Linked DNA regions of Diceros bicornis minor. The protein of the gene in region 1 purifies or fractionates together with the protein of each later gene. This does not show direct contact. Links are inferred from orthologs where the notes say so. Each region holds a gene or a part of one and is shown on either strand. Other genes may lie near its edges. The genes, in order: ABCA1 and NR1H2.

Region 1 (8,748 bases):
CTGGGTACTCGATCCTGCGTTAGGGAGCACAGTCGGGGAGCTCAGCAAGAAGATGAGAGCTGGCGATACAGGGTTTAAGTGAAGCCAAGGGAGTGGAGCATGTAGAAATAAAGGGAGAAAACCAGTATTAGGAGACATATATATAAGGAAAGAGGAGACAGAAAGAGAGCAGTTAAAGAGGCAGGAGAGTCAGAAGAGAACCAGCTTCATGAAACACAAGAGAAGAACTAGTTTTGGGAAGGAAAGTGTGGTCAACAGTGTCAAATACCAGAGATCAGATAGCCTGAGGACTTAAAGGAGGTCATCAGTGTTACCAGTTAACAGTCTTTCTGTGCTTGAGATATTTTTCTACATTAAAAATATTTTATAATGATGAAAATGAAAGCATGTATGCCTCTTTCTTTCTTTCTTTTTTTTTTGTGAGGAAGATCAGCCCTGAGCTAACATCCATGACAATCCTCCTCTTTTTGCTGAGGAAGACTGGCCCTGAGCTAACGTCTGTGCCCATCTTCCTCCACTTTATGTGGGACGCTGCCATGGCATGGCCTGAGATGCCGTGCGTGGGTTCGCACCCAGGATCGGAACCCAGGCCCAGGATCCGAACCCGGGCCGCCAGCAGTGGAGTGCGCGCACTTGACAGCTACGCCACGGGGCCGGCCCTCTCTTTCTTCTTAAGGAGGTCATTATTAAATTTGAACAGAACAAAGTCAGAGTGGTGGGGGCAAGAGTTTGCCTGAAATGGGCTGGAAGTGAAAGAAAGGGAGGGAGCAGAGATGAAATTTTTCCAGCAGTTTGGCTCTTAAGGGAAGGCGAGCTTGAAGGGTGGCAGGTTGGAAGGACGGCTTTTAAAAAGAATTATAACTCATTGATCAACTAGTAATTCAGGGGAATATATCTGCTATAATCCAGGCTAATGTGTTGGTCCCAATGATAAGCAGAACAAATATCTTACCCAAGTCCAGAAGCAGTAATCGTTTTGAATCTTGCTTATGTGTCAATAAGAGACACGTTACTACAGAAGGGGATCACACTGGTCCAATTAAATTGAATTTGTAGGTATTGAGAGCCCACACTATACATGGTTTACTCCACAAATAATGGAGAGTCCTTATATATTTTTAAGTTGAATATCAATTGCTTGATGATTTGTCTCTGTGTCTAACCATGTATTAGAATTAAAATGACTCAGGGCCGGCCCCCTGGCTTAGCGGTTAAGTGCGGGTGCTCCGCTGCTGGCGGCCCGGCCGGGATCCCGGGTGCGCACCGCTGCACCGCTTCTCCGGCCATGCTGAGGCCGCGTCCCACGTACAGCAACTAGAAGGATGTGCAGCTGTGACAGACAACTATCTGCTGGGCTTTGGGGGAAAAAAATAAATAAATAAAATTATAAAAAAAAAAAGAATTAAAATGACTCAAATATGAACTGTAGGTCCTTTTATTCCTCTTTATGTGAAAGAAGTATTACCTATGTTTTTTTTTAATTTTGAGGCACCTTTCATTCTTTAGGAATTCTCAAAAAAATCTAGCTATTAGGTCTTCTTAATTGTAACAATTTCAGCTTGAAAAGTTATTTTTAGAATACTTTTTTATTCCTCATTGACTTCCTGTAATACTCTATTTTTTTCAGAGTTTCCAGGAACCAAACAGTATGTGTACCAACCAAAACACATGGGTGGTGAAAATCATTATTTTAAACAATATGTATACATACATCGATGTATGCCGGTTAACGGATATATATAAAGCAACCTCCAAGCAAAGCCTTTTAGGTAATCCCTAATTTAAAAGTCTCAATGGATGATAAAAATCGAGCTTCTCTGTAGCTCCATGACCTCTAGCAGGGTCTCCAAGGCCACAGCTGCCTGAAGGACAATTCTGTAACTAGAAGATGCCAGGGTCATCTGAGAATAGAACCTCAAGCCACCAAGGCTGCTTTACAGAACCAGCTTCTCCCGAGCAACAGCAACAAAAAGGGGCCTTCCTACTTATTTGGAAAGGGTCACCTAGGGTGGGGACTTGGAGTTTTGGTGTTGGTGTTAGCAGGAATCGAAAGACTTGGAGAAAAGCTCACTGAAGCATACTCAGGAACAAATCAACCTATGACATTCAAGGGAGAGAATTCACACTTGTAAACTTTCTCCAGGGACACATTCTCTTAGGCTCTAACTTTTGGAATTCAGTATTTTTGTCATATGAACCTGTCACACTTGCAAAGTATGGGCTTGGTGTCAGCAGACTTATGCCCTTGTGTCACCTGGCCAAATCACTTAGCCTATTTAGGGGCATGTGCTCTTTTATTGGTAGAAATCAACGAGACTAATAAACATGTCTCAAATATGTTTCAAACATTACAGTATGTTCATGTATTCAGTGTAGGGGTGAGCAGATTCTTGACACCATAGGTTCTTAGTTAAAAATGATCAGCTTTGGCTTTGGGGCCACAGACTTATGTATTTAGAATCACTGCCTGTCCTCTCTGGGGCTTCATCTTCTTCTTGGGCTCACCTCCTTTCTCCAGCGTCCTATCTTTGTCTTATTTGTACAGGATGTACAGTCACTCCTTCCTCAGTAGAACAGTCTAAGGGATTACTTTAATAGGGGTGTTCTTGGGAACCATAGCCTCCAAAATTCCAAAAAGAATGATTTTGATGGAGGGATTTTAAGCACTGTGACTGGTAGATGGGGGCAGGGGGTAGAATGCGGCAGGGAAGAGAGAGTCAGAGAGACTTAATCACTCCCCCAAATCATACTTGGAATGGTAACACCTCCTCTGGGAGCTTTCCTTGATATCTAGAAGGTCAGAGAGATTACTTTTAACTCTTTGCTAGACCTAGAGTTTTAAAAGTTTGGCATGAGAAAACTTTATAGGCCATGGCTAGTACCTGCAAATGACATTAATAGTCAGCTAATAACACCCTCTTTGTTTACAGTGCCATTCTTCCGAGGAGCTCAAATAAACAAAATTCACTCTCAGAAAACCCCAGTGAGCTAGAGAGAGCATACATATTTTCTCCATTTTACAGATGAAGAAATGGAGGCAGAAAGTTGCAGATTAGGTGGTTCAGTCAAATTTGACCCCAGAACCCAGTCTCTTGGCTAGGGTTGTTCATTGATCCAGGCAAGAGGGGAGCCCTCTCCTGGGCCCTGGGTTTCAGAAGGCTTGGCTCTGGCCCTCCTCAAACTTCATCCCTTCCTAAGGGTGAGCGGTCCTTCCTAAGGGTCAAAGGGCCATGCCACCAGAGTTATGAGTACGTAGACCCCAGAATTCCTTGCCCTAAGGCCCCTAAGTGCACTTCTAGGGCCTCCAGAGGCCTCCTCACTGGATCTGTCCTGAGTGTTGACAGTACCACTGATTTGTGCACCTGGGCTCAAGTTGTGGCCTTGACTGCAGTGTGGAAGGGGCTTGTGGAGCTGGTCGTCCACATGCACGCAGTGGAGTTTCTTCTTGAATACGATGGAACTGGAGGTGAGAAGAGAAGGGGTCTGGGGGCTGGCTCTCCCACTCCACCCCACTCTTGCCAAAACTCAGGTCAAGTTGTAAGGAGTCTGAAGGCGAACCTGCCCTTCCAGGTTGCTTCAAAGGTAACTTTGTCAAGGTAGGAGACATTTATTTTCAATTTGTTGACTTGATTTATGACCTAAATATTTAGACTTAAAGTATGTGGGCCTCCATTTGTACTCTTGCCTCGGTCCCTCAAATGTGATGGGTGGCCTTGCTCCTGACTGTCAAAGCCAAAGCCAGAGGAAAAAGCTGGCGAACTGGAATGGTTATATAATTTTACATGACTGCAATTCTCTAGCTGCACTTTGCAATCTATAGAAGCCAAAATACAAGCCCTGTGTATTTATCACTAGGACACTGACCAATATCATGAAAATAAAAAGGGGGCTGGTCCACACTGTTCTGTTTTTTGCAGCCTCACCCTCTCCCCAGTTTACAAAGAGAAGGAGCAAGACGCTTTTCATTGGCCCTCCCAGAGACCTGGGAGGCCTTGGCCAGGAATCCCAAAGGCAGCAAGTCGCTATTGAATACCAAAGTCAGAGTTTGTGGTGGCAAACAAAAACAGCTAATTACCCAGAGGACTGTCCACCTTCCCCCACACCCCGGGCATTTGAAAGGAAAGAAAGACTAAAGGGTTGGCGTCCTGAGGGGTTTCAGCCTCGCGTTCTCTCACCCCCCAATCCCTCCGACTGAGTAAACTAACAAAAGAAGAAAAAAAAAATTGCGGAAAACACGAGTTTAGAGGAAGCGATTTCCACCAGTGCTGTTGGCTGCCCGGAACGTGGACGAGAGAGAGTCTCCGGCTCAGCCCCAAGCACCGCGTTTGCCGCCAGTCCTAGGCGGGCAGGCCCGAGCCGGGGTAGGGGCGCCGAGCCAAGACCAGGTGATGCCTGCAGCATCCCCACCTACCACCCTCCGCCCCCAGCCCTGCACCGAGCCGCAGGACGTCGCCGGTTTAAGGGGCGGGGCGCGGCTCCACGTGCTTTCTGCTGAGTGACTGAACTACATAAACAGAGGCCGGGGAAAGGGGCGGGGAAGGAGGGAGAGAACAGGCTTTGACCGATAGTAACCCCAGCGCTCAGCGCAGCCGAATCTATAAAAGGAACTAGTCGCGGCAAAAACCCGGTAATTCCGAGGGAGAGTGAGTGGGGCCGGCGCAAGCCAAGCCGAGCTGACAGCTCTCTGCCCGGGCGCAGGTGGGCAGGGCAGGGGGCACCGCGGGACCAGCGCCGCCAGAGCCAATTTCTTGGGGCGCTTTGCTCCTTCCCCCCCCCCCTTTTTCCTGGAAGGGATTTTCAAGGGGTGGGGGAAAGATACTCAAACACAAAAGTGGAAAACAGGTAAGAGGCTCTTCAGTGACTTGGACATTCTTGTTTTGTTTCTGGGCGGAGCAGGTTTTGAGAAGTGCTCGGTTTCAGGTACTTTGGTCCGAACCCCCACATCCCACCTCTTGCAACGCAAATGGGGCAGGGGCGGCTTAAATGGGGGGGAGGACGTCCTAGGACGAGCTCTGGCGACCCAGAGATTCGGCGCTGCGGCCCTCGGTGCTCGCCCGGCGGTGGAGCCCGGGGAGCATCTCTGGGCGTGGAGACCAGGGCGCAGTAGTCGGTGCAGTGGAATCGGGGGCTCCTGGTCGTGCTGGGGGCGCTGCTGCCGGAGTGGAGAGAGGGGCAGGTCCGGCACCCAGCGCTTCCCTTTGTTCCGAAGCGTCTGAGCCGGCTGAAAACCCTTCTGGCTGCAGGTAGGCCGGCGCCCACCGGGACAAATGCCAGCACTCAGTCCCTCCTCGGTTCTTAAAAAGCTGGTCTGAGTTGGGCTGTGACCTGGGCATCGGCCCCGTGCGCCCCGGACCTGGAGCGGCGGTCCTTCTTCCCCAAGAACTCGACTGGGAGGTGTCCCAAACGGGGTCCGTAGCGCTAGTGCTCACTTGAGGCCTCGGGGGCTTTGTTTGACCTGGGGGTCCTGTCTATGGTCCTGCCTCCGTGCGCTTACCAGAGCTGGTGTCCCTGGCGCAGCAGGGGACGAGTTTTGTTCCTTTTAAAAACAGAAGACTTAGAGACAAGGAGAGTCTGTGGAAACTGGAGCTGAGGTACCTACTCTTCGCCCCCCATCTTCCTGTGCTTTGCTGCTTGTCTCTTGGGGCAGCCTCAGGCCCGGCACGGATGGGGAAGCTGGGGCGCGACGGTGCAGCAGAATGACCGGGAGTAACCCCGGCAGGCGGTGCAGAACTCCGAGCCCCGCCGCGCGGCTGGGCTCGGCGGTGGGGGTGGGGAGGGCTGGGCGCGGGCTGCCGGCGGCCTCGAGGGATTGGCCCGCAGCGCCTCCTGGCCGGGTGGCCTGGGAATCGGCCCCGTGGTCGGAGTGGGGCCGGGCTCTACGAGGCATTGTCGCTCGCGGGTTCCGACTGAGATCCCGTGAAGACGGGTGGTTGCAAACTGGGAGGAAACTTGAAGGATCAGGCAAAAGCCCATCTAGTGGTTTTTTGTTAGAATGTTTCCCGGACCCCAAGACCGTTGCTAAACCGGAAGGTTCTTGGGTCATGGGCCAGTGTGCCAGGGTTGTGTGTTGGTGCCTCTTCTTCAGCACTTATCAGAAAGAAGGAAAAAAGATAAAAAAGGAGAGAGAGAGAAGGAGAGAGAAAAAGGGAAAGAGAGAAAGAGGAGAGAGAGAAAAGCATCTGGCACAGGAAGTAATTGGCCCTTGTTTTTTGCAGCATAGATACCATCAGCTTTTAAAACGGGGGACTTGTCAGTGACACCTCACAAAATGAGTGGATCATATATACATTCGTATAATAGAGGACAAATTTGATATTTTTAAAAACTTCCCTAGTGATGAAAATCAGCAAGTCATTTTCTAAGGCCGGATCTCGATTTAACTCTAAATAGAGCCCTGTAACAGACCCTGGACACTTTGACTTGGCGTATTTACAGTTCATGTGAGACGATGATTAGTCTAGGATTAGAAAGGGGTGATTAGCGCTTGGTTGGTTTCACCCTCTGCTCCAGGAAGTCTCAATGCAAACATTATTAAAAATGAATGAAACTGAAGGAAACTCAGTGACAGCTTTTTATTATCTTACGTAGTATGTACCTTATATGGAGAGAAGTTGGAATATTTTTTCATTTAAAATATTTTTTAGGGCTCTTCCCTCCCATTAACCAAATTGTTTATGCTGTATTGGTAGTGATTGCAAATTGTTAATATCTTCGCTATTTCGATTTTTAGCTCCTAAAATAATTACATGGGCATTGCCTTAGACTCTTTAATTGTGAACCTTTTGGATATCCAGAAAATACCGATAGACATGATTTTTGCATTTCTAAAATACTCTCAAATCCAAATACGTTTTTATTTACTCTCTGGATATTAAAGAAATAATGCAAATATAATGCTCCTTATGATCAATTACTCCAGCATCAAATTTTAAAAGATCTTTCTGAAAATTTGTTTTAACTATTCTGAGAGAGGGCCTACACTAAAAACTGAGAACATCTTCATATCTGCATGTGGAAATAAGCATAAATGCCAAAGTTATTGCAATGTTTATTTAATAGACACTGTTAAATAGCAGTATGTGCCAGGTACTTTTCCATATGCTTTTCAAATACTAACTAATTTAATCTTCACAATAAACCCATTTATTATCCCTATTTTACATATTAAGAAACTGGGAGGTTAACTGGCCACCCACTTTGCAAGTGGCAGAGCTAAGGTTTGAACCTAGCCCGTGAGCTCCAGAGTTCTTTAACTCCCACACCATGCAGTGAGGTGGTACAATTTCAGCTGCTGCAAGCAGAGGACTTTCTGAGGATGCTCACTATGTTCTGGCACATTCATCTCCTGTAGTCCTTATCAGAATTTACAGCCGGTATCATATTTCTGTTGTTGCTGTGAGTGGGCCAGCCAAATTCTCTTCAGCTTGCTGGGGCCTTGGTTGCATAGAGATTGCAACATCATGGAAAGAACATACAATAAAATTTACTCAACTCTAATTTCTTTACTTGGCTTAAAATGAAAACTTCACTATTGCTTCAGTCAAATATTTGTGAGTAAGTCTGTGATCTCAAAGTGTTTTCCTATGCAATGTGTAGAAAATGGGAAGACAGTATTTGGCTGTAAAAGTATATAAAAAAAAAGGAAAAGGGAGGAGAACTATTACTTTAGCTGTCAATCCCAACTTTGGTAAAACTTTTTTTGTTGGTTATAATACAATACAGTCTCTGCTTGTTCTCTCCCTAACTGTTGTGGACCTTTTGAAATGTTATTTCTTTTTTTTTTTTAATTTTTTATTGTTGAGATTTTTTTGTGTTTTTGTGTGTGTGTGTGTGAGGAAGATCAACCCTGAGCTGACATCCAATGCCAATCCTTCTCTTTTTGCTGAGGAAGATGGGCCCTGGACTAACATCCGTGCCCATCTTCCTCTACTTTATATGGGATGCTGCCACAGCATGGCTTGACAAGTGGTGCGTCGGTGCTCCCGGGATCCAAACCTGGAACCCCAGGCCGCCAAAGCGGAGTGCACGCACTTAACTGCTACACTACCAGGCCAGCCCCAATAAGTTATTTCTTTATTACTGCCATTACTGTCTAGGAATCAAAGTTAGGCTTTTCTTAAGGCATCTTTCTCTGAAAGTAAATACACTTTCACAGTCTGCTTTATAAAAGTGAAATAGGATGGGAAACTTTTTCTTATTAAATTGGTGTAGCAGGTTAGAAACAAACTCTTAGAAAGCATTTCTTCTTGGTAAAAACAGTTACATTTATTGTTGATTTACTGTATGCTGGGCGTTGTTTTAAGCATTTTACACATATTAATTCTGTTGATTCTCATGAGAACCACATGAGGGTGGGTACTGTTATCTTCATTTGAAGATGGGGAGACTGAGGCATAGACAGGTTAAGTAGCCTGATCATGGAGTTTGTAAGTAGTGCAGCTGAGGTTACATCCCAGGCAGTTTGGTTTCCAAGAATTTACCAATGTCGGGGTAAAGACTTGGTCAAAGTATCAATGTTTTGACAAATGAAAGACTAGCAAAAGGCAAAGAGGAATTCTCCCTTTTCATTTGGATATTTTCACTTGAAAATAGTTCCCTGGATAGGTAACCAGCATAGATGTTTTAGAGGTACATTTTAGAAATATATGAAGCCAGAGAGTGAAAATCTCATATATAAAATTGCTTTCAGATAGAGCCTTCGGATAGTCTGCATTCCACTGAGACCACAAAGTATATTAAAGCAAAGAG
Region 2 (9,466 bases), on another chromosome or scaffold:
TAACTCTAAGATGTCATCGGTTGTCAGCCATGTGCATCTCAGGATCAATGATATTGTCTATACTGTTAATTTACTTATTACCTTTAACGCTCGTTTCCCCGTTAGAATCTAATCTCCACGAGGGCAGGGATCTTGGTCTGTTTCATTAACCACTGTGTCCCCAGAACCTAGCACAGTGCCTGGCATCTAGCAAATAATAAATACTTTTAACAACCCACTTTGAGCACCTGTTGCTCTGGGGGACTTCCCTGACACAGCAGCTGCAGAGTCACTTTCTCTACAATAACTCGCACCACATCTGCCCGTCCTCTGTCTCAGAGGCTGGAATACTCAGTCTTGACCCCTCAGAATCTCCCCACCCGGGTTCCGCATCATCCAGTCCCAACGCCCACTCTGTTAATAAGTGGTTTCTGACAGATCTTGCCTGCAAATTCGTAAATGGCCACACGGTGGTGCTGTGGGCCAATTTTCCAAGCCAACACCAGCTCTGTCCCCACTCCCCACATGAGTTTCCTTTTCTGAGTCCTGGTTCACGATTTATTGAACAGGCTATGAGCCATACTCCTAACAGCTAAAATGCAAAGCCTTGTGATTATTCTCTATTCAGGACGAGGAGAAAATATTTTCTGATCAGTCTATTTTACACGAGTTGTGATAATAGTTTCATTTGTTTCTTCACATACATTTCAACATAAATTTTCTGAATGTCTTGAAAAATTAGTACACACACTGTAAACATGGCTGACTCGACACACCACGTTTTCACATTGGTAATAACATTTGATGCGCTTTCTTGTAATTATGAAGAACTAGTCTCTTTTTTTCTTTATTGTGAAATTTTTGTTGTGCATTATTGTTTGAGAGTCACCATATAAATGCATCCCGTCACCCCTTGTGCCCGCCCCCACCCCCCTTGCCCCTGGTAACCACCAAACAGTTCTCTCTGTCTGTGTGTTGGTTTATCTTTCACATATGAGTGAAATCATGTGGTGTTGGTCTTTCTCTTTCTGGCTTATTTCGCTTAGCATAGTACCCTCCAGGTCCTTCCATGTTGTTGCAAATGGGACTATTTTGTCTTTTTTCATGGCCGAGTAGTATTCCATTGTATGTATACACCACATCTTCCTGATCCACTCATCAGGAAGAACTAGTCTCTTAATTTGACTTAAATTACTGTGATCCAACAAGGATTTATTAAGCACCTTCCCCAAGGTAGCTTTTTTTTTTTAATATTTAATTTTAAAATTTTACCTCCCCAGTTTCTTGAGCTGAATCCTGGAACACATCAGTCTCTTTCAAAGCTCCTTGCTTTTGCCCTTGTGGTTCCCACTGCCTGGAATGTAGACTGCGCAGTGAAAGGAGCAGATGCTTCCCCCTGACTGCCTCCCGCCGGAGGTAGTGCGGACATTAACAAAAGAAACCTTAACTAAATAGGAGTTGGGAAGGCCTGTAGGGGGAGCTCTCACGCCCATCACACACCATCAATTACACCAAGAGACAGAGCTTGCATCTCTGACAGGAAATAAAACTACTCTACTACTGAAGGAAGATTTCTCTCCCCACCTGGCAACAGCCCAGCCAATGAGAAACACTGCAGCTCAGCCAATGAGAAACGCCACAGCTCAGCCAATGAGAAATGCTGCAGCTCAGCCAATGAGAAACACTTCAGCTCAGCCAATGAGAAATGCCACAGCTCAGCCAATGAGAAATGCTGCAGCTCAGCCAATGAGAGGCCATAGCTGCCCCAAACTGTTACTTTCCCCCAATGGACTTTCCTTCAGAGCAGCCCCTCCCTACTCCCCCTTTTTCTCTATAAAAGCAGCTCCCCTCCTTTGTTTTCTGGATTTGCCTATAGTTTGCCATAGCATGCACCTCCTGAATTGCAATTCCTTTGGCTATTCCCCAATAAACTCATTTTGAGATGAAATAACAGGTAAATTTGCTTTTTAAGTTGACAGTAGCTAAGAGATGTCTTCTTAACACAGCAAATGGGACCAGGATCACCCCCTATTTTTTCATATAGTGGTTTGTGCCCAGGTTGACCTCCACCACCAAACCAGGAGGCCTTCCAGGTAAGGCTCAGGCCTGACCCCTTTCAGGGTCTCCAGCCTCGCTCAGCACAATCCTACGGGAGGCCGCGGGCTGTGATTGGGTAAAGGATTGCCAGATTTTTCAACTCACCATTTTATTTATTCATCCAGCAACCTGGATGATTAAGAGAGGAATTATCATTCACATTTTACAGAGGCGGGAAACTGAGATGAGGGGGCGGAGGGGATGGGTGGGAAGGTGGTACAGGCCAGGTGTACTCCGCGGGGATTTGAACCTGCATTTTCAGGCTCTAGACACCTTGGAGTCAGCTCAGAGACCTCGGCTTTCACTCACTGCACCTATCACTTTTGCTTGCATTCTATTGGCCAGAACTCAGTCACGTGGTCACACTTAGCTGCAAGGGCAGCTGGGAAATGTAGTCCACTTGTGTCGCCCAGGTCAAGAGACTGTTTTTTGTGAATTCTCAGCCAGTACTGGACTCATCTGGCCCACAAGGCCTCATGATGGGACTGTGCTCCCTCTAGGATATTACCTCTTCCTCCTCACCTCATTAAGCTCCAGCCACCTTGGTCTCCTTGCTGCTTTTTGAATATGCCAAAATTCCTACCTCAGGGCCTTTGCATTGATTGTTCTATCTGGCTGGAACACACTTTCCCTCAAGTGTCCATACGGCTCCCTCTCTCACACACATTACCTCTGGAAGTTTTATTTGGGCCAAGAGGCTATTTTATTTCCACAATAACTGGGGTAGCTGCTGTCATTTACTGGGCAGGGGTTGGGGAGTTAGGCACATGGAAAGCTTAAATGTCCTGCTAGACATTCCATCAAAAAGTTGTTGCCTAATTATCTGACTTTCAGCCTACTCTCTTTCACATATACTTGCCAATGTAATTTCTGGCGTGACTTTAATATACCCTGAATTTTCTTGGGGTGCATCTCATGTATATACCAAGGAAAGATTATAGTTGGTCTTATTGATGATTTTATTAAGACTTGGCCACAGTTTTGGAAAAATCGCATCACCCACAGCAATGCTGCCTGAGGCATCTGAGTTGATACAGCACTTGTCTGTCAGACAGCTAGACACAAACAGCAATTCTGTATTTGGAAGTAAGATCTGGCTGCCATGTCGTTTCTCCTGTGTACTTATGTTGAAGTGCGTATCACTTTAGCTTACATTCATTCATCTTTTGCATTGCATTTGTTGAAATAGAATGATATTTTGTTGTTGTTGTGGTCACAGTTGAGCTATATTATCTCTGCATTTCACTTCAGAAGAGTAAAGGCAGAGTTCCACATTACAAATTATTTGTGATAAAAAGAAACAGAATTAGCCGTCAGGGAAGTGCAAATTAAAACCACAGTGAAACATGACTTCATACCCACTAGGATGGCTGTAATAAAAAAGACATAATAACAAGTGTTGGTCCTGATGTCAAGAAATTCACATCTTCGCACACTGCTGGTGGGAAAGTAAAATGGTGCATAGAGTCTGGCAGTTCCTCAAAGGGTTAAACATGGAGTTATTATATAACTCAGAAATCTCACTCCTAGGTATATACCCAAGAGGATTGGAAACATATGTCTACACAAAAATTTGCACAGGAATGTTCATAGCAGGACTATAACCAATAGAAACAACCCAAATCTCCATCAACTAATGAATGATAAAATGTGGTGTATCCATACAATGGAATAATATTCAGCCATAAAGAGAAATGAAGTACTGATATTTGCTCCAACGGAGATGAACCTCAAAAGCATTATGCTAAGCGAAAGAAGCCAGACACGAAAGGACGTATATTCTAAGATTCCGTTTATAGGAAATGTCCACAATAGACAAATCCATAGACACAGAAAGTAGATTAATGGTTGCCTAGGGCTTGGGGGATGCGGGCAGTGGGGGTGACTGTTAGTGGGTATGGGGTTTCCTTTGGGGGGGGTGACAAAAATGTTCTAAAATTCATCGTGGTGATGGTTGCAACAATTCTGTGAATATACTAAAACCATTGAATTGTACTCTTTAAATTGGTGAATTGTTTGAGTACGTGACTTAAATCTCAATAAAGCTGTTACAAAAAAAATCAGGGGATATTGGATCCATTACAAACGAGAACACTGGTCCGCGGTTAGTTTCAAATAACAAAATTGCACTGATCGGAGTTTTAGATATACCACGCACCGCCTTTCCTGAATCCTCACACCCTTCAAAAGAAAAACAAATAATTTCCCTCATTTTACAGGTAGGTCAACCGAGACTAGGAGTGATGTGATTTGCCCCAAACTGTTGTAATTCATCTTCAGCCTACTGCACTCTTCTAATAGTGAAAAGTTAAAAACAACTTTAACATCCACAAAAATAAACCTAGCTCCCACACCCTGGGCTCGCTATTTGAGTCCTGTCCATGCTTTTTAGCTCATTTAATCATAATAACAATGCAATAAACTCTTGTTCCCAATGTCAGATAAGAAACCGAGGTGCAGGGAGGGTAAATAGCTTGGCTCAACATTACACGGCGAGGAAGTGGCAGACACACCAGTTCAGCCAGCCCCAGACGCCCATGGAAACCACTCGTTTTACTGGTAACATCCTTGGAAAATTCCACAGCTTCCAAGGCCGTGCCGGAACCGACAAAACAAGCTACAAAAGACCATAGATCACACATTCCTCTTTTGGAAAAAAATGCGTGTATGCTCGATATAGATCTGATTACCACGGGGGAAAGACTTTGGAAAAATGTCCGTCTTCTACCTGATCAAGTATTCTGAGTTTTCTTTAAAAGCTATTATTTTTATCTTTCTGGCAGGGGAAGCTACGCTTTTTTTTTTTCTTTTTTTATTCTTCCTATCATGAAGTTATTTTTTAAATATATTTTTTTCTGGGTCGAGGTTTGTAAATTAACGTATTTAAAACCAACAAGCAGAGCACCTCCAAAATCAAAAAACTTCTAACAACCAAAAAAAGACAAACGATTTAAATCAGCCATCTGCGAAAAGGAGCTAGAGCTAGGGGACAAGCATGCCGCGTAAATCCTTGGCTGCGAGCCCAGAAAGGCACAGGATGAGTTAAAGCCACACAGCGCGCGGCGGGAAGGTTTGGGACTGGCCACGCCCACTCTCGCCCAGGGTTTGATTGACGGATCCGGAACTCTTCTCCCAGTCCCCAGTGGGTATACGACTTCCGTGCGGGGCAGCCGATTTAGCTAGTCCTACGCGGACCGGAAGTCCGTCCATTCTGACTCCCCGCCCTTTTCCGGAAGTGACGCACGGTGGGGTTGCCGGAAGAAGTGGCGAAGTTACTTTTGAGGGGACTCGAGCAGCGGCGGCGTGCCAGGGGACACAGAGAAGGAGGACGAGAGGCAGAGCAAGGGGACGGAGGCAGGTACGCTTGGGTGTGGGGCGACGCGGGAGGAGCCCGGGCCCGGGGCTTCCCGGCGTTCCCCGCGCTGCTCCGCTCAGCCCCCTTCTCTCCCGTCGCCCCCTCCCCTCCGTAGCTCGCGCCGCCTCCGGCTGTTTCCAGGGCAACGGGAGTAGGAGACCCCGCGAGAGGACGCCCACGAGACCCTCGCGCGCAGCCATGAGCCCCGCCCTCCACTGGTGCTCGGAGAGGGGCGTGACCTGGAGCGAGGTGTGGGGGCGGAGCTTGATGGGAGGAGGTGGGGCGGGGCCTGGAGGGAGAGGTACGGATGGGGGGAGTGCAGAATGATGGGGCGGCGCCTTATGGGAGGAGTGAGGGTGGACCCGGGAAGGGATGGGGCGGGGCCTAGAAAAGATGGGGCGGAGCGTAATAGGAGGAGGTGGGGTCAGAATGGGAGAGGGGGTGCTTCCTCGACAGAGGTGGGCGGAGTCTGAGTAAGAGATGGGGTGAAACTGGGAAGGAGGAAGTGAGGGTGCAGCACGATTGAAGCAGAAGGGGCAGTAGTTGGAAAGAGCAGGTGGGTGGGATCTGGAGTGGGCGGGGCCAGAAGGGGCGGAGCCTAGAGGGGGCGGGGCTTGAGCCCAAGCAGAAGGGGGCCGGCGCTGTTAGAATTGGAGGGAAGGGTTTGTAGGCTGGCAGGGGCCGGGGTTGGCGTCTGTAGGGTGGTAGGGGAGGAGTCTGGGAGAGACGGAAGAAAGAGAGGTGCCCCCATCAGAACCTGTGGCTGGCCTCACCTGACCCTCCCTGGCCCCACAAGGCTCTGAGTCCCCCTGTATTCTGCAGGCTGCTCCGTGACCCCACCATGTCCACCCCCACCACGAGTTCCCAGGACTCGCCCTTGCCTGGTGAGTGACCCCCTTCCCCACCCAGCACCCCCCAATCCCACACTTGTCAGGAGAAACTCACTGTGCCTCCTTCTCCCAGGACATGGCCCCCCTCAGCCCAGCGCCCCCTCCTCTTCACCCGCTGTAAAGGACGAGGGTCCTGAGCCGTGGCCTGGGGGTCGGGACCCTGATGTCCCAGGCGCTGATGGGGCCGGGTCGGCCTGCAGTGTGGGTGAGACGGGGCCCAGGGACGGGGCTGAGAGTTGGGATGGGGGCTCGGGAAGGGCTCTAGGAAGGCAGAAAGATCGGAAGTGGGGATGGGAGGCCCCAACTTGTTGATTTCTTTTTTTCCCTTCCTCTTTGACACCTCTTGTTTCGCTTCGTTCTTTGGGGTCCGCTGATGTATACACCTTTGCTCTGAATCGCCGTCTCCCCGGTTCCCTCCCTCCCACGATCTCTCGTGGGCCTGCCCCTCTGGCTGCTGTTTCTCTCTGTGGCTCCGTCCCTCATGGCCTCTGTCCGCCCACCACAGTCGCCCCCGACCCAGCCGAGGAGCCGGAGCGCAAGCGGAAGAAGGGCCCGGCCCCGAAGATGCTGGGCCACGAGCTGTGCCTCGTGTGCGGCGACACGGCCTCCGGCTTCCACTACAACGTGCTCAGCTGTGAAGGCTGCAAGGGCTTCTTCCGGCGCAGCGTGGTCCGAGGCGCCGCTGGGCGCTACGCCTGCCGGGGTGGCGGGACCTGCCAGATGGACGCCTTCATGCGGCGCAAGTGCCAGCAGTGCCGGCTGCGCAAATGCAAGGAGGCAGGCATGCGGGAGCAGTGTGAGTGCCCGGGAGGGAGCCCCGCCAGCCGGGCCCCTGCCCAGCCCCGGGGCCCCCGCTGAGGCCTGCGTCTGCCCTGCAGGCGTCCTCTCCGAGGAGCAGATCCGCAAGAAGAAGATTCGGAAGCAGCAGCAGCAGCAGCAGCCGTCACCCAAAGGGCCGGGGGTCAGCGGCAGCTCAGCCTCTGGGCCTGGGGCCTCCCCTGGAGGGTCTGATGGGGGCGCCCAGGGCTCCGGGGAAGGCGAGGGTGTCCAGCTAACAGCCGCTCAGGAACTGATGATCCAGCAGTTGGTGGCGGCCCAGCTGCAGTGCAACAAACGCTCCTTCTCCGACCAGCCCAAAGTCACGGTACCGGCCCTTCCGCAGCCTCCAGGGGTGGTGGGCCCGGCGGGGTCAAGCTGGCAGGGCTGCAGCCCAGGCCATGGTGGGGCATGGGGCTCCAGAGGGCAGGAAGGTCTCCTAGGGTGCAGGCTTCCTCAAGGTGCCCCCATGGCCTTGGGCTCGTAGGAGGAGTCTTCTGAGTAACCCTGGCCCCTCGCGTCCCCAGCCCTGGCCCCTGGGTGCGGACCCCCAGTCCCGTGACGCCCGCCAGCAGCGTTTCGCCCACTTCACGGAGCTGGCCATCATCTCGGTCCAAGAGATTGTGGATTTCGCCAAGCAGGTGCCCGGCTTCCTGCAGCTGGGCCGCGAGGACCAGATCGCCCTCCTGAAGGCATCTACCATTGAGGTAACAGCCGGCCCGCCATCCCCAGCAAGGCCCTTCCCTCCTGTCCACAAAGAACCCCAGAGATAAGCCCCGGGCCAGATGCCAGGCACATAGTGATGAGCAAGACTCCTCCAGTCCTCACCCTTGTGGGGATGACACTCTCCAGGGGAATGTCGAAATATTAAACAAGGTAATCAGAGCTTCCCGGGAGCCAAGGAGAGAAAGGAAACCGGCTGAGGCTGAGAATAATTGAGGATTGGGCTGGAGGGGCGCACTTTAGAGAATGTGCCAAAAAGTCTATTCAGCGAGTTGACATTTGAACCAAACGATGGTAACAAGTATTGAGTGCCTGGTGTATGCCAGGCTCCATTCCAAGTGCTGGGCATATGGGAGTGAATGAACCAGACACAGACTCTGTCCCCGTGCCTCGTGCATCAGGAGAGCATCCTGAGTGGAGGGTGCTGTGGGTGCCGAACCTGCAGGAGGGAGGGAGCCTGCAGTGTCCAACAGGACACAGGCTGGTGTGGCCGAGAGTACGGGGGGCAGAGGGGCGAGGCACGATGCTGGAGAGATCGGGCCCCCGTTCAGGCCAGGAGAGGAGGGCCTGGTGGCTGGAGGCTCACAGGGACGCCTCGAGCCCCCTGCCCCCACTGCTGTCCCCAGATCATGCTGCTGGAGACGGCCAGACGCTACAACCATGAGACAGGTTGCATCACCTTCCTGAAGGACTTCACCTATAGCAAGGATGATTTCCACCGCGCAGGTAGGGCCCCGGGGCCGGCGGCTGGGGGCCCGGGGGCCGGGGTGGGGCCCCTGCTGGCTGGGAGACCTCGGGCCGGCTCATCCTTGAGGCCTGAGCCTCCGTTTCTTTATCTCCAAAACCGGCTGAGGGTTGAGCCAACCCTGACGCAAGATAAGAGCACATGTATTGAGTGCCAAGTCTGTACGGTGGAACGCAGTGCAGGATGAGACAGGCTTCTGCTATCATACAGAGCATCTGGGTGGGAATGAGAAAAAGACACTGCCTCCTCCCAAAGCTGGTCTCAGCCGAGGGAGGCTGGATCTCACTTGGTTGTGAAGTGCGCAACCTACCCAACTGTACAGGGCAGTCCTGGTCCCTGCCCTCCAAGAGCACTGGCTAGACTGGGGATGTGCCCTAGGCGGTGGGCTTCTGGAGGAAGTGAAGTTGAGCCGAGGCCTGAGGGGTGAGAGACATCACCTAGGGAAAGGGAGGTGGGGAGTACTATTCCCCACAGGGGAACTGCATGTGCAAAGCCCCCACTCCCTTGGCCTCTGGGCTTTCCCAGTAAGTCCTGCTCTTTCCCGGCATCTCTCCCTGGGACACCTCTCTCTACTCCCGACCCCTGCTCGTAGCCCCATCATCTTCCCTTTCTCCGATTCCTGGCCCTTCCAACGCCCAAACAGTCCCAGTAACCATTTGAGTATGAACTTGGCAGGGGAACATTGTGGGGGGAGAGTGTTCTGGTAGCGGGGGGTCAGCGTGTGCAAAGGCCCTGAGGTGGGGAAGAGCTGGACGGTTTGAAGGAACTATAGGGAGGCCCAGACAGCTGGAGTACAGAGATTTGGGGCTGGAGAGGTGGTTGCCACAGTCCAGGCCTCAATTGTCTCTCCCTGGAACATGG

Evidence for each region.
Region 2: the proteins of ABCA1 (region 1) and NR1H2 purify together in Homo sapiens (affinity purification with western blotting; 3 studies listed by BioGRID and IntAct, with this or other methods). This does not show direct contact. The link is inferred for Diceros bicornis minor from reciprocal best matches to the Homo sapiens genes ABCA1 and NR1H2.

Annotation. Positions count from the first base shown.
Region 1 is NC_080767.1:14,665,154-14,673,901, reverse strand, and holds the start of ABCA1 (phospholipid-transporting ATPase ABCA1), read left to right. Parts: upstream 1-4,616; 5' UTR 4,617-4,842; intron 4,843-8,748. UniProt on the Homo sapiens protein: Catalyzes the translocation of specific phospholipids from the cytoplasmic to the extracellular/lumenal leaflet of membrane coupled to the hydrolysis of ATP.
Region 2 is NC_080773.1:25,576,044-25,585,509, forward strand, and holds the start of NR1H2 (oxysterols receptor LXR-beta), read left to right. Parts: upstream 1-5,306; 5' UTR 5,307-5,434; intron 5,435-5,546; 5' UTR 5,547-5,680; intron 5,681-6,253; 5' UTR 6,254-6,272; coding exon 6,273-6,315; intron 6,316-6,394; coding exon 6,395-6,526; intron 6,527-6,826; coding exon 6,827-7,117; intron 7,118-7,199; coding exon 7,200-7,465; intron 7,466-7,664; coding exon 7,665-7,844; intron 7,845-8,486; coding exon 8,487-8,586; intron 8,587-9,466. UniProt on the Homo sapiens protein: Nuclear receptor that exhibits a ligand-dependent transcriptional activation activity. Binds preferentially to double-stranded oligonucleotide direct repeats having the consensus half-site sequence 5'-AGGTCA-3' and 4-nt spacing (DR-4).